2 linked regions of the Drosophila melanogaster genome follow. The protein of the gene in region 1 interacts with the protein of each later gene in a pairwise test. Each region holds a gene or a part of one and is shown in the gene's direction. Other genes may lie near its edges.

The links.
Region 2: the proteins of CG13838 (region 1) and Cipc interact in a two-hybrid assay, tested with the Drosophila melanogaster proteins (2 studies listed by BioGRID).

The regions. Positions count from the first base shown.
Region 1 is NT_033777.3:23,040,529-23,043,402, forward strand, and holds CG13838 (uncharacterized protein), read left to right. Parts: upstream 1-1,712; 5' UTR 1,713-1,804; coding exon 1,805-2,080; 3' UTR 2,081-2,141; downstream 2,142-2,874.
Region 2 is NT_033777.3:26,105,037-26,110,194, forward strand, and holds the start of Cipc (clock interacting protein circadian), read left to right. Parts: upstream 1-1,831; 5' UTR 1,832-2,306; intron 2,307-2,548; 5' UTR 2,549-3,841; intron 3,842-5,158.

The DNA.
Region 1 (2,874 bases):
ATTCAACGTGGCACAACGACCAGGACTACTACCACACACATAAATTATATGCCTTTATTTGGGCAAAACAGTGTAAAACGCAAATGCAACCTGATGACAACAACAGGCTGCGTTATGCAGCAACAACAGAACCAGAAGAAGCCGGACCCAAAGACGTGGCAACAATGAGACTTTTCGGCAAACAAACGAGGCAAACTAAGAGCGCTTTTCAACTAATGACGACGAGCAGTAACAAAAACGTTTTCAAACTGGGCGGCGGCAACAAGTTGAGCCGTTTAGATTTAGAGCTTGTAAAGTGTGTGCGGAAAATTCAATAACCAAGTGATAACAACCTCAAGAACAGATCCAAGTTAACCCGCTGGAAGACCAGGAAAATCCACACAACCACTCGAGCTGAAGGATATCGGCAGGGTAAATGCACAAATGCATATGCATACATAGATGTATGTGTATGCGTATGTAGGCAGGCCGGAGAGATGACAACAAAAGCCAGCTTAATGGCAATAATAACAGATTTTAGCCAACCACAAAGAAAACGTCAACAGAGGCATACTTTTTGGCCACCATGCTGGCAGCAGCAGCAGCAGCAGTTCGGTTAATGGCAGGAAGTTCACTTCACAGCCAGGACGACACATCCTTGCAGCAGTCACTTTGAATGAAAATTCATTAAGTGAAAATGCCTAAGCCAGCAGATGAAACAGAAAGGAGCAGCAGTCCATCCTCTTAATAGCCGAAAAAAAAGACCGCATCGTTGGACAAGCAACCACATCCATCAGCCGGCCGATTGGCTCAATTTGCATGCAATTAAAAATAAATTGAGGCACCTTGTTCTGCGGCTAAACTAAATAGTGGCACCGCATTCGGTGGAGCCCACTTCCAATTTTCAGTACCAAACTGGTGCGGGGGTGGGGGGGAACGCGACCACCGCAGTATGGGGCCAAAAAAATTGATTTCAACTTCGGTTGCCGCCGCGTATTTATAGGCTGAATTGTCATTTTCTCCTCTTTTCTGGTTGCTGCATTTTTTTTATTATTTACTTCAACCCAATCCTGAATGCTAACAAAGAGTTCTCGAAAGGAGAGCGTAAAACAAACAAATCACGGACCGATATGCACACATAAAAATTCATAAATATTCTATTTTGAGTTGACATTTTGACAAGTGAATATGAATATTGCAGTCGCAGCGCACAAATTTATAATTGATATGTATAAATAATGGACAAAGCCATTTTGTAAATGGGTTTAATGAAATGAACGAGTGTAGCTCTTGTAATAGCTCGCCAATTACAAACAAAGCAAAACAAACAATAGTCGAAAAAGAAGAGTGGACTTTCTGGTGCCCTGGGCGCAAATATTTTTCAAAACATTTAATTTATTGTATTTGAAAAGTTGTAACGATTTTTCAAAAATATCCTCCTAAAATGGCAAGCAATTTACTTTCATTTTTTTAAGCAATAGACTTTAATAAACGTTTGATGAAAAAAAAAAATCATCAAGTTCACCCATTTAATATACCCCTTAAATCTCAATTTACAGGTGCCATCGCTTAAATAAAATATACTTAATATTTCACATTTGGCGTTAAAAGCAAAAGTACCCAAAAGCCAGTTAGCTGCAATTACAATTAAATTAAATTGGTTTATGGTAAGCAACTTTAATTATGTTCGATAGCAAAACAAACCAAGTCAAATTTGCTTTACACTTCGGATCGCATGGCACAAAATAACACCGAAAATCATGATTTAGGGTGAAAAAAATTTAAATTTAAATCGAAAGTTGTTTTCCCAGCCCTTAAAGCCCAGATGGACAGCGCCGATGAGCAGCTGCAGCTGGATCTGGACAGGATATCGATGGAGAGTCGCCAGGCCAGCAGTTTCGATGACCTCATCGAGCTGACCAACAACTCGGAGCGTCTGATGGCCAGAGTCAATTCCAGCTTGGATGACCTAAACACCGCCCTCGACAACCTGGAGGCTCGAACGGACCGGGTTCTGGTCGAGATTCGGAGGCTAATCAGCTCGGAAATGCCGGCACAAGGTCCGCACGATGGATGTGGCGATCCAGATGCCAGGGCGTAGGCGGGCGAATGGCTGTGATACGTAATGTGATAATAAATAAATGTATTTTATTTTCATATCGAAATCAATTGATGCTCAACTGCTCATAGGAATTGAAAAGTGATTGGTCGTAGCTCTTCTTCGGTTTCGAATCGAATGGGGATCGAAAACTTCGCGGGGGCATTGAGGCCATAGAGGCAGAAGATCCATAAAACGCCCGACAGTTTGTTTGTTTTTTATGAGAACTGTAACCCTAGCACACAAATAATTAGTGAGCTATTTTTATGGATCTTCGGATGCGGGGCTGCGCATGCGCAATGCGCATTGAGCAGAAGTATCAAGGTGCTGGGGGTCTTCATCCACAATCTTAATTAGAATTTACATACATTTTCAATATGCGTGTGTGTGTGTGTGTGTGTGTGTTTTGTATTTGTGCACATGTTGCACTGCATTTGAAGATCTCGTCGTGCACTTAATCACTTGAGCCGTCGGCACCATATGGGGTCCTTTCTTTTACTTCTTGTTGTCTGTGCCCCGCGGCATCTGGTGCATGGTATATGTAGTAGACTGAGCGGTATAACCTGTTAATCAGATATGCAGATTGACCCAAAAATTATGCCACAAAGCAGCTGCTGGGCGACAGCGTTTAATTGACAATTAATAAAACTTTTAATTTGAGCCCAATTGGCACATTGCACATTATGGTAATGGTAATGGTAGTGGGGTAGCATGGTAGTTGGTCAATTGGATAATGCCCACAGATCCCAGCCATTTGCACTGGTAATTCTTCATTAATCGGCTACGCAATCATTTAC
Region 2 (5,158 bases), 3.1 Mb from region 1:
GACAAACAAATGTGTTCGCCGCACGATCATTAACCGCAGAATTGAAATACAATCTGCGGTTTTTGAAGTGTTTAGCCAGCAATATTGTGGTTTATTTTTATCACGACATAGCTATTTTTGGAGTAATTAGGCACAATTATTTTAATACTAAAGGACAGATAATAAAATTTGTCACTTAAAATGCCATTATCAATTAAAAATAAAACAATAAATATGTCAACGGCAAGATGGTTGTGTTTAGGCTATTTCGGTACAGTTTATTTTCGTCTATTTCTAATCAGTTGAATTATTCGTGTTGTTCGGGCTATACTCGTTAGATTTGATTACGCACTTTTATTTAACGGGCGTCTTGATAGGATGGACAGCCCACATAATAACGACCACGTTTATGGAACTTTTGCATTGACGCAAAAGAGTGGCCACGCCCCTACACTTCATGGCAATTAAATGGCACTTTGGGTGCAGAAATTTAAGGGCGGAAAAAATGCAAATGGCCAGACATGTGCGTGATGCTTTTATGGTCGTGTTCCTTTTGTTTTACGCGGCGTACACGTGTCGGCAATTGAAATAGAAAAGCGACCATGGCCCAGACACCCACGAGCCCATTAAAATCACACATAAAGAACATGGCAAAATCGGGGGGAAGCGGTTCCGCAAGGGGGCCTCCAACGAGCGTCGTTGTCGTTGTCTCATGTGTTATGCTAATTTCTCTTTTATTGTTCGCTGCTCGGATTTTGCTGCCATTTACGACAGCAGCAGACGATTAAAGCCAAACCGGAAGTCAGCCATCGTTCCCCGTTTACCGTTAGTGTCGCAGGCGGCTGCGCCGGCAACAGCCAAAGGCCATTGAATTGCCTTTTCATTACGAAAACAGCGCGAAAGGTCGCTCGGAAAATGTATCTGTCAAGACAGTGGGTCTTCGAGCAGAAAAAATATATGCATATTGTACAGCAAGACCTCGCAATGTCGAACGTTAGTACAGAGCTTTCATTTAGGGTTTTAAAATTGTACAAAAATAAATGAATCTTTTATTATTTTAAACAACACTTCTTATATTATTTATATCTATTTTTTATGGTTTAAGAATCTCCCCCGTACTCTGTGTATATATATATAGCAACCCGTCAGCGCAAACACAACTCATTGAAACTCACAGCCATCGCGCAGAGGGAGAGGAAGCAAAAGCAATCGGCCGTAACAAAATTTCCGACACGTGCGACAAAATTGCCTTCTATTGCGACGGGGAGGGGGGTGGAAGTGGGAGGTGATGGCCTGGCCCGAGGGTCCGGATTTAGGCAACCAGAAAGGCACGACCAAAACAAACCCGAACCAAACGCAAAGCAGCTCTCCCCTGGGATTCCCCATTTTCGGGGCGTGTTGCTGGCAACAATGTTGCGGCAACATTTTTCGATTGATTGAGATGCGTTGGCGACTTTTGAATGCGAATGTGTGTCAACAGTTTTTCACTGATGCTATAAATAATTTTATTTTGGTGGATGCTCGAGCATGAGTGTGTGCAAATAAATGATTTGAACCGTTTTCTGTAGATAAGGCCAGCTATAGTAATTTGTTGATTACTCTGCGAGTAAAGTCAACTTATTATTTCGTTGCTTATCGGCTAAATTTGCTAAATTTAGAACTTAGAACTAATTTAATGTTAAATATGGTTTTAAGAATTTAATATGTTTGATTAAAAATATGATCTAACCAAAAATAAATTTATTTTTCTTTTTTTTTTTTTTTAATAATTTCCTAACACATTTGGCCACTTTTGTGGGGTGCGCAGTGAGTGCCCGCTGAGCTACTATTAAAACGACGCTCGTTCGTCGGACCGCGTTCATTCTGCTTTGGGCGGTCGAGGTGTTCGTCTCGCAGTTTGGTCAAAAAACTGGAAAAGCTACGAGAGCTTTGTATTTCGCGCTGAACACGAGCGTTTACGTATTTTGCAGTCGCACTCGAGTATTCGCATATCCGTGTTTGTTGTTTGCCAGCGCGCGTGTGTGCCACTGTGTGTGTGTGTGTGTGTGTGCGTGTGAGTGAGTGTAGCTGTGTGTAGTGGTGTGACGGCCACACGCGCAACGAAAGCGAAAGTTTTGTTTGGCGCGCGTGTTGCCATTGGCGTCTGCGAATTTGCACACACACGTTCCCTTACCTAGAATAGATTAAAAGCGTGTGAAAACAAATACGAAAAAATACAGAAAATAAGAAGAAAAGATAATGTTCATTATTCCCAATGAGGGTGCATTAAATTAAGGGTATCTAGAGCGGAAGAAACACGACATCAACATCATTCCCGCAGCGTCTGGGTAAGTCGGCAGGTCTCGCGAAAAGGTTTGCCATAAATCTCCCGGCATTAGCATCAGCATTTGTGTGCCACACGTGCGGTGCTAAATAATAATACAAAGCCAAAAAAAAAAAAAAAAACACAAAATTGCACTTGACAGCCGACTTCCGATGCTGAAAGCTCTCCTGCCAACTAGAGAGGTTGTCCTCCTGTTCTCTGTATTTTTTTTTTTGCATCCCCCCTGAATTTCCTTTCCCCGTATAGGCGAGATTTTTTCAAGCTTCGTGCCTCACCTTCTGAAGGACGAATTTAGGTCAGGATCCGTGGGCCTTATCACATGACTCATGGCGTGTCCTTTGGCATTTGGGCTTCCTTGTGCTGCGCTTGCATCTGCATTTCGGCGGGCCACATGGCGTATGCGCAATATTGATTTCTTAAGCTCACTAACTGTGACCTTTAAAGCTCGTACTTAAAGTAATTTACAAATTACGAAACAAACTTATGTTAACCAGATTTAAATACGGCTTACTATTAAAATTAAAAAAAAAATAAATGCTCTCTGCGACTGTTTTATTATATACCTCAAATACTCGCGGGAAATATAAAGCATAAAGTTCGAATAATGTTTTGGGCTTCAGGGACTTTCAATGTTTACATATATTGCCAGACGCACTCAATTTTCGCAAGGGAAACAAAGTGTAACTTAAAGAAAACAAAACTTTAACATGTTGATGTGTTAGCCCTTTATTTGTTTCTGTGCTGTCGAATTCCAAGAACTAAGATAAAAAAGTACTTCCTTCCTTTACGTAAATATGTTTTGGTTTTACATCAGCCATTAAGAGTTCGGTCAAATCGTGTGAAATATTCTTGAAATAAGCACAAAGTAATCATAGAGCTTTGTCTGCGATTTGAAAGAAGAGAAAAGTAGGGAGATTTTTCTGGGCCACTTTTGCAGCTGGTTTTTACGGCGTACTAAAAGAAGCGATGGCTCAGCTAAAGTGAATCAAGCTCAAGCTGTGATCCACAATCGACAGCTGTTTGTTTATTTATTTTTTTTACTCACTCTGAAGACTTTGTATTTGCCTAACTACGATTACTTCAAGTCAGTGAGAAACAGTGCAACGAAATGAGCTTAAGTTCTGGGTATTATTATTATCTTCGGTTCATTGGCACTATTGAACCCATTTATTCTGGGCGTATTTCCAACCGGAAATTGCTTTAGGCAGTCGTGGACATTAAACAGGTACCGAGCATATCTATATCTCTGATAGGTAACTCTTGCGCGTGTTTCGGGGGGGCCGCTCCATTCATGACACCCCATGACGCCCATAATCGTAGATTTATCATTTTTGCTCGAGCGCGCGCGTTCCGCATTACAGCAACAAACAAAGCAGTAAAAAATTGGAAAAAATATTAGCCCCATCCGATATATAAATATAAACAAGCAACAACACGGGCGAAGGCAAAAAGAAAAAATAAATAAAAGACAACAAAATATATATGTAGAGCTGATATGCGGATCGTCAGCTTTGGCCCCAAATGTGGAGAAAAGAGAGCGCGAGTTACCACCCCACCCCCTAAACCCCCACGCCTCTAAACAAATCATCGGACACTCAACCGGGAAGACGGCAACTGGAACACCGCATCCGGCCGAATGCTGACATTCCGGCCGAATGCTGACATTACACAAAAGTCGCACTGCAACATTGTCCCCAGCTAGCCAGCCACATGCCGAGTCGGCATGTTCATTATGCTTACAATTAAGAACCTATGTACTTATGTATAAGACGAAAACGGAGGACTCGAGTAGCCACTCTCTGACAATAAACTTCATACTGATTTTGAACTTCAAGAAAGTCAGTCGTATTCTTTATTGGAAATCTTCACACTACAACTATCTGCTGAAACTTAAAAACCTTCATACATTTACACATCATATCTTCACAAAAGGCTCCACCCTCGATCACGGACTTAACTGGCGCAGCCGGTAGGATGTCCTACCTATTAATAATTACCTACCTGTAAGTAAACATGTAAGAAACGAAACAAACTATATGCAAGATGTCGACTGAAAGTGACTAGGAACAAATTTTTATAAAACAAAATTGAAGTTGTGAAGTACCAAATGAAACTCAAACATATATTCAAACACAGGAAAAAAAAAGAGAGAGGAAAAATGTAAAATAAATAAATATACAAAAAAAAAGTGCAAGTGTACCGTACTGCCGCGCTGACGTGGAATCTATCGCTGATCATCACGCCATCGGTATGTCCATACTCTGCCGAACGTCATAATTTTTTTAAAAAAGTGCAAGTGTACCGTACTGCCGCACTGACGTGGAATCTATCGCTGATCATCACGCCATCGGTATGTCCATACTCTGCCGAACGTCATAATTTTTATAAAAAAGTGCAAGTGTACCGTACTGCCGCGCTGACGTGGAATCTATCGCTGATCATCACGCCATCGGTATGTCCATACTCTGCCAAACGTCATAATTTTTATAAAAAAGTGCAAGTGTACCGTACTGCCGCGCTGACGTGGAATCTATCGCTGATCATCACGCCATCGGTATGTCCATACTCTGCCAAACGTCATAATTTTTATAAAAAAAGTGCAAGTGTACCGTACTGCTGCGCTGACGTGGAATCTATCGCTGATCACCACGCCATCGGTATGTCCATACTCTGCCAAACGTCATAAGTTTTTATAAAAAAAAAAGAGTGCAAGTGTACCGTACTGCCGCGCTGACGTGGAATCTATCGCTGATCATCACGTCATCGGCACTTACATACGCTGGCCAACGCATCGCCAAAGCCTCTATATACACTTATATATGTGAGCATACAATATCAACTACAATCCAATACATC